2 linked regions of the Nothobranchius furzeri genome follow. The protein of the gene in region 2 interacts with the protein of the main gene of each other region in a biochemical or structural test. Links are inferred from orthologs where the notes say so. Each region holds a gene or a part of one and is shown on either strand. Other genes may lie near its edges.

Region 1 (4,132 bases), on a different chromosome or scaffold from region 2:
TTTGCCTAAATTCACCCCTCTGGATTTATAACTTTATGTTGTAAACAGCGTTTCACTTTACACCAAAGCTGATTGTTAAAAAGTCCGGATCCCTACCAACTTCTGTTGCTGGTGGTGTTACCGGGTTGAGCTGCTGCTCTCACACCGGAATGAGAAGATCTCTGAATGGCGACACTCATATAAATAAGTAATGTCATTTTAACACACGTAATCATACATCGGAGCTTTAATATTGTTAATAATTGTCTCACTTTACACTACAGTGGACGGAGTGCAGCCTCTGTGGTGAAATACCCGTCCATCAGGATTATCAATAACTTTTATAAACACATCACATTTATCCCTGTCCCTGTCTTCCTCGAGAAATAAAAGAACCTTAATCTTACCCGGTAAAAACATGTTCGCTGCAAATCTTAGGCCTGCTAGTCTGCTTGATTGATCGCTGCAGTTCATCTCTGTCCTCACTGTCCATCAAAGTTATTTAAAAAAAAGAGTTGAGTTTACATCCGTGTCTCTTAGTGCAGCCAACCACACAGCAAGTTAAAACCATTTTCCTGTCAAATCAACTAAATAAAAGTGATAAAAGGCTACAAACTGGCTTGTTTTGGCTAGCTTTGCTGGCGTTTCAACGGGTGTAAATGGTCTTTTTGCCGTCCATTATGGCGAAGGGGGCGGTCACATGAGTGGCGCGCAAAGGGTCAATAGCATGTAGAGATAGTTTGAAAAACAACCGTAGGTCCTGCCCTATGACTGAGCTCCATCTATGGGTCGTGGCCAGACTATTTAATGTATATGATAACTTGCCAGGGTAGGCATCCCTCTGGAAGCCTAAATCAAAGTCAGAAGGTTTCAAAATGAAAATAAAACCAAGAACATTTTGTGGAAATCCTCTGGTTGGAGATTCACTTTCTTAAAAAAATATTTGACTTCAAATTACCTTCTGATGAGCAGTCGTTTAACTTTAGTGCTTAAACAAATTTATTAAAGGACCTAGTATTTCTTTTAAATAATGAATCCATAAATAGTTACTATTTTTCTGAACCCGAACAACAGACTACCTGTTTCCACCGATTCTTACAGAGAATGTTTGCCTACATTGTTGTGACATTTGCATTTAGAACATACCATTTTAAGTATTGTATTGTAATTGTGTGAGGTAAATTTTAAAGCACCGTTTAATATAAGAATTATTTAGCAAATTGGATAACCTTGTCATTTTTAAATACGTGTGATTTATTTTGGAAATCCTTAGCGGAAGTGGTATGTGTACAGTTTTCCAGCTGGACAGCTTATGAACCCAAACACTAGCACGTCCGCTCAACTGTTCCGCAGAGAGCGGGCACGTCTTGGTCTGAGTCCTCTCGTTCCGGCTGAGCTTTAGCGGTCACCATGCCTTTTATCGAGCATATGTCCAACGCGGACCTGGAGCGGCTGGCGCTGGACCGGGTCGTGCCGGCCCTGCTGACCCACGGCTTCTGCTACGTGGACGGACTCCTCGGGGAGCCGGCCGGGAGCGCGGTGCTGGACCAGGTGAAGGAGATGCACCGTTCCGGGGAGCTGCAGGACGGCCGTCTGGCCGGCACCGTCCCGGGCATCAACAGGAAGAGCATCCGCGGGGATAAGATCGCGTGGGTGAGCGGCACCGAGCGGGGATGCGAGGCGATCAGCTTCCTGCTCGCCCTGGTGGATCGGCTCATCTCCGTGTGCGCCAGCCGCCTGGGTAATAAAGCCATCCGAGAGAGGTCCCAGGTAAGAGCTCCACCTGGATAAACTCCATGGAAACATTCCCGTCATTCCTGAAACCTAATCCAAAATATGTCTCACTGGGAGAACTTCAGCTTTCTCTTTTATCTTGTCACACCTGTAAGCTGTCCATACCTCAGGCTGGAGTAGAGCATGTGTTGATCATAATGAATTACCAAAAAACTACTCTACATAAACTTTTAACCAATCAGGAAATGTGTATTTTCATGGAATAAAATGTTTAATCCCAAGCTGTTCTTGACTTTTCCTGGTCTGTAAGTGTGTTGGACAGCCTCCACTCGTGTTTGTAAACAGCCCACACCTTTAGTCACATTTAACTTCCTTTCATTTTAATGTAACTGCGGCACCATCATCCTTTTGACAAAATCTGATTAAAAAATCTACATTTTGGTTTATTTTCTGATGCTTAGTTGTTGTTTTTTTAGCCTTTTGGAGAAAAAATTCATTACTTTTTCAAGTTTACTTTTCCCAAAGCGTTTCTCGGAGTCTAAAAATAACAACAATGGTAGAATTCAAATGAATGAACTAGTTTTACTTGTTTATGACATTAAAAAAAACGTTTTGACAGAAGAAAACTACACAATCTCGACTCTTAAAGACACTGGAACCAGGTTTCATTGATATTATGTGATCGATGGCCCCACCACCAACCAATTTTTAAACATTTTCAAAATGCTTTTTTCCCCTTATTTTTACAATTTTTATATATTTTGTTTTTGTGAAGCGCCTCGTGATTTTTATCTTGAGAGTCGCTATAGAAATGATATTTTCTTCTTCTTCTTCTTCACCATTTTTAATTTATAAATTAGGATTAAAAAAAGATAAAGAAATAAAGTTTGTGATTAAAACGAAGGCTTGGTGCGTTTAAAACCTGGAAGAATGCACTTTCAGGTGAGAAAGCTCGATTCTTCCTGTTGCTGTGGGATTGGGATTATATCCCAAAATTATACAGTTTATAAAAGGCATTCCTCTGAGGGTGTGTGTAATCTGTAATAATCTGGGTCAGGTTCACTTGAGAACGTGTCAACAGACTGTTCGTGACGGTTTTTTCCTGCGAGGAAACCCCAAGCCGTGCCATCTGATAAGCATCTGCTGCCCTCAGCTCAGCGGACACTTCCTGTTTAGGTGTGGAGTTGACAGCTAAGCAGTGAAAATGGGTTTCCTCCTCCTCATCCACTCACTTGTTATTGTAGACGACCCGGACGTAGCTCACAGGACCTCCAAGGATAATGGAACATAAAATGGCCCACGCACAGTCAAACCTGAGCCAGCATGTGTGCTGTTTGAGTCATGCAACCGAGGTCGTAGCCTTTTAACCGCAGGATACACCTCTGGTGATATTCACAGATCCTACTTCCTGTCAGCTGGGCTGACATCATTTATTTTACCCCAAATGTGGGTTTTACTGGACTTGTGTGTTGGGCGACAGGTACTGCACCTAAACGGGATAGCTGCTGATACAAAGATGGTCAACATTACGAGGAATTCTTTTACTGATCTGGAATTATCTTGGACCGTTTTGTAATTTCTGAGTGTTTTATACGGAGGTTTTAATCCCGTCTCACCTGAACAACTCTAAAACGAGTTTTGTTGCTGGCGGTGCCACTTCCTGCCTCTAAAGCTGAGCTTTGAGGGAACTTATTTCCCGATTTTTCTGGTAATCACTCCTGAAGTCAGCTGAGGTATATTTGAGAACCCCATCAGCAGACTAGTTTAGAGCCTTCGGGGTTCTCAGCTACGTGTGCAGGTTTGAGACTCTTATTGTGAAGGTTTGCAGGAAGTTTTGTGAACACTGCAAGCCTTCACCGTGTGATTGGTAAATCGAGCTGCTAATCATAAGTAACTTGGTTCAAAACAAACCCAGAACCCTTTGAGACACAAATGATAATCGTGACAAACGCCGTCAGAGGCGTTTGGCTAGTGCTAGCTTAGGTTTCTGATCATTAAAGGTTTTTTGTATCAACATATTATTACATATTACATTTAAGTACAAAAGCATTACAATGCCATTTAGTTTAGCTTAGCCCAGAAGGCGTCGTGAGCGCAGATGACCATACCACCCCAGGCAGCTTGGTTCTCACGCATTCAGAACGTTTGTCTCTAGCTGAAGGACACAGCCGTCTGGTCTGATGCACCTTCTCCCTGTGTGTTTACCTTTAGGCCATGGTGGCGTGTTACCCAGGAAACGGAGCAGGTTACGTCAAACACGTGGACAACCCGAACTGTGACGGACGCTGCCTCACCTGCATCTACTACCTCAACAAGAACTGGGACCCCAAGGTACAGCTCACACCTCTGCCGCTGCGATGGCTGATTGTTGCAAGCATTACGTTACAAGCATTTCCCCACACGTCACATATTGTGTAAA
Region 2 (4,076 bases):
ATGGGCTCGACACACGGGAGGCGACATCGCCTCTCCTCCTTTCATTTTCAATGAGACATACGCGTCAAAACGATCATCGCGGGTCTCCCTCCTACCAAGCGAAACGCGAAAAACGTGCGTGTGAAATTTTGCGCTCGTGCACGTGTCGTGCACAGGCGACCCAGCGACGCGATCCCAGAAAGTTGAAACATTTTCAACTTTCCGTCACTGTCACTCGGGCGAGGACCAATCAACGGAGGTTTCATTCACTGACCAATGAGCGGACAGGATGCTCCGCACATCTCCGAGCTAACATGGAGGAGAAGTTGATTATTATTATGTTTTATAGTAAAATCACAAGTAAAATTTCACATAACTCTAGCAGCACCTTGTGAAACATCATATCTACCGCTTTATTAACTCTGAACCGCTTAAATAACCTTAATTCCCTCCAACCTGAACCAGCCAAACAAAACAACGGAAGTTTCGATTTCGCCATGGAACAGAACGCGTAGACGGCTTTGCCGCTGCCGCGGGTCGCCTCCCGTGTGTCAGGTAATAAAAGCGACAGCGACGAATTTCGCTGATCGCGGTCGTTTGTCGCCTCCCGTGTGTCGAGCCCATTAACAGGGCCGGCTTTGCCGACAGGCGACACAGGCGGCCGCCTGGGGCGCCATCTGATGGATAGGGCGCAAAATTAAAAAAATAAATGAATAAAAAAAGTTTATTAAATTTATGTTTGTAATATGAAATGCACTCTCTACATACTCAAAATTCCCCTCTGAAATGACATAAAATTAAAACATCAATATTTAAATTCTAATGATCTGGCTGCATGACGAGCTCCCGCTCGGGCCACCGCTCCGATGCATTTGACCGTTAAGGGTGCCGTAGATCACGCGCGTGGGCAGCACTGTAGGACACCCTGTTGTCGCCGCGTTTAAACTTTTGATATATTTTATGATGAAAAGAACACCTAAGCCATCGGGATCAGCATTCCGAAAGCGAAGGAAGGAGGAAGAAAAAAAGACGGGCCCAAAGCAGAGGCATGTACACTTTATACATTTGGCAAAGGAACTTTTTGCGTTACCATTGTAGCTAACTGCCTCTCCTGCCACGCACGGTCCATGGACGGACCCTTGCTAGCTGTTTACATACACAATACAGTATCTCATAACTTTAACCAGTTAATTTTACTTTTGAATCGTCGTGTCCAGATGCAATGAGACAATATCTGCAGCCTGTCGACAGGCACCTGTTGACACCACGGGGGCTGGGACTGTCTTCTACACCTGTTGAGCCTCACTGTGAAGATGATGAAGAATGTAAGATTTTTTTACTGGTTTTTGGAGTATGATTGCAGCCTTTTTATGAACTTTGTTTCAAGTTTTAAGCACGCATACAATATGAATTTCAACTTTGTCCTTCACATCGGGCGGGCGGCACCGCCGCGGCCGTGGTGGGGGCTCCCCCGCTGCCGCCGGGCCCGACGGGGAGTGAGAACTGCCTAAACGCAGCATGACATCTTATGGCGTCTCTTTCTTGTTTACGCTGCAGCGTCTTCTATCCAGGCATCACGCAGCAGCACATTTACTGAGCTACAATCTCAGCATCTAGAACCAGGTGAGTAAGTTACTTGGGGGGGGGGGGGGGGGGCGCACATGGGTAGTCTCGCCTTGGGCACCAAATTACCTAGAGCCGGCCCTGCCCATTAAACGTGCATTTTGCTAATATCAGAATCAGAAAAGGTTTATTGCCATTGTCAGTGAACAAACAATTCACAAACTATAGGAACTTGCTTCGGTACTAACGTGGTACATATAACATGAATAATATAATTAAAAATAGAATAAAGTAGAATAAATAATATCTATGAGAGTTTGTTTTTGGAGGAAATCTATCAGATGTATGATTTAAGGTTGTCTTAAATCACCCCAGATGATTAAGTCTGAGGGGATTTGGAGGTGACGTTTTAACCTCAGAAATATTCGTTAACCTGTATCAGCTGTTTACCACGTGACCAAACGTCTTTACCCCCACCGGCTCCTCCATCATTCTACATCTGCAACTTCTGAGTGTTTCCTGATCAAAGAAAAGCCGTGCGTTTGTTGGCACGAGACAAACAGCTGGTGTCTCTTTAACGAAGTCCAGCCCGGTTGGTTTTGCGTCTGTTGGATAATTCCAAATGACGTCACCTGACACACGCGCACAGAGGGAAGCGGCGTGAGTGTGTGTCCCGGTGTCGGTTACCTTGCAGGGGAACGGTAGTGTGGAGGCCACCTTCTCCATGGCCAGGTTCCGGATGCTCGGGCTCAGCGGAACGCGGCAGGTCGGGCAGCAGCTCAGCTTCTGGCGGCACGGGTTACAGACCAGGTGCCCCGCCTGGCACTGCAGGATGGGCGGCAGCACGTAGTCGAAGCACACCGGACACTCGAACAGCGCCGTGAGCTCCGGGGGCTGCCCGGGAAGGACGGCGGAGGGCAGCGACACAGAGCCCGACCCGGCTATAGTCCCCACACCGGCGACGGCTGCCGCTGCAGCGGCGGCTGAGGCTGCTCCTCCCGGGCCTCCGTGCTTTCCTCCGCCTGCTTTGCCGGCTCCGAGTCCTCCGCCTCCGGCAGACGACGGACGGCTCATAGCTTCCAGCTGTGGTCCGGTTGTTGTGCGGCCGAGCAGGTGGTACTGTCATTTACTATTTACAACCGGACGTCCCTCCGGGGTGAGACATTTGGAAACGTAGAACGTCCAAGGAAGGTCCCGCCTGTCTTGCCTCTGATTGGCTGAAAGTGCTCTCCTGCGATTCCGCCTAGTTTGCCGCCAGATCTAGAGCAGCCATTCATAAAGAAATTGGCTGTGTTCAAGATAAAGCCTGGCTCTCACCTGATCTAAGATCTGATTGGTTCACATTTTGATCCAAACATCCGGTGGTAGAACATGAAATGTTAGTTGGTCACATGTATTCTGTAAATCATGTAACGATGATGATGACAACTATATAGGCCATAAAGAGGAATGTGTTTTGTGTTCTTCTGCCACGTTTCCTATGAACACACTAAACCTACAGCTGATAACCTTTACTTATTATTACACTCAGATCTCCATATACAATATATGATATCCACAAGCACGTGAGGATGTGTTTCAGCTGCTAACAGGCACCACAATTAAAATGGAAAATTAAACAAGCGTGAACGCTAACGCGATATCTTCAGCCATCGTCACCCGTGAGCTACACATGTAGGAAATTGTGTCTCACTTAAACACCGGCTTTCAGCCGCTCCCCCTGCTGCTTCCGTCGTCTCCCGTCTGTTTTCCAGGCGAGGCGCTGTTCAACTCAATCATGGCCTTCGTCAGCTTAGCGCTATAATAACCATTCTGTCCTCTTTTGCATCAGTCCAAGTTCCGATTAAAGGAACCGGAAACACGTTAAATGTGAGCTTGTAATACAACCTATTGCATTTTATCACACTGTTTACAAGTTAAGCACATTGCTCATCTGTTTAGTTGAAAGCTGATCATGATTTAGACCTTTTTTTAAGCTGTTTTCATTATTCCAGAGGAGAGACAGACCTGCTGCACACAGCTGGGCCACATAGGGCAGTTTTATTATGCTTCCTACCAGGTAAGGCTCACGTGTTTATCCTGTGTACTCTGATTTTAATAAGATCCTCTCAATGCTTGAGAGCCGAGAGGTATAAAAGGAGTCAACAGTGTGACAAATAAGTTCACATTTTACGTTTTTCAGTATTTTAAATAAAAGAAACATAAAACAATATTTTACAAAACTAGACAGAATGGTGCTAAGTTGACATTTCTTTACAAAACTCGCCAAAACAGCTGTTCTGTTGGCGGCAGGACAGACTGCCCATAGCCAATTGTGGTAGAGTCCTTCTAGCCAATCAAAGGCCAGAAAGGCGGGATCTTCCTTAGACATCCTACGATTCCAAATGACGTATCCAGCGCTGCTCACACAACATGGGGGCTGCTGTTTTGGATTGTATTTAACGCGCAGCTATTGGTTGGATGTACCCAGAGTGACATGACGCTAAGCCAATCAGCAGGAAGCAGCATGTCGCTAAATAATCTAGTTTTTTTTT

What was found.
Region 1: the proteins of siah2l (region 2) and egln3 form a complex in vitro, tested with the Homo sapiens proteins (2 studies listed by BioGRID). The link is inferred for Nothobranchius furzeri from reciprocal best matches to the Homo sapiens genes SIAH2 and EGLN3.

Annotation. Positions count from the first base shown.
Region 1 is NC_091758.1:7,726,543-7,730,674, reverse strand, and holds the start of egln3 (prolyl hydroxylase EGLN3), read left to right. Parts: upstream 1-1,275; 5' UTR 1,276-1,389; coding exon 1,390-1,749; intron 1,750-3,924; coding exon 3,925-4,044; intron 4,045-4,132. UniProt on the Homo sapiens protein: Prolyl hydroxylase that mediates hydroxylation of proline residues in target proteins, such as PKM, TELO2, ATF4 and HIF1A. Target proteins are preferentially recognized via a LXXLAP motif.
Region 2 is NC_091750.1:26,734,127-26,738,202, reverse strand, and holds the start of siah2l (E3 ubiquitin-protein ligase Siah2), read right to left. Parts: upstream 2,848-4,076; 5' UTR 2,617-2,847; coding exon 2,230-2,616; intron 1-2,229. UniProt on the Homo sapiens protein: E3 ubiquitin-protein ligase that mediates ubiquitination and subsequent proteasomal degradation of target proteins.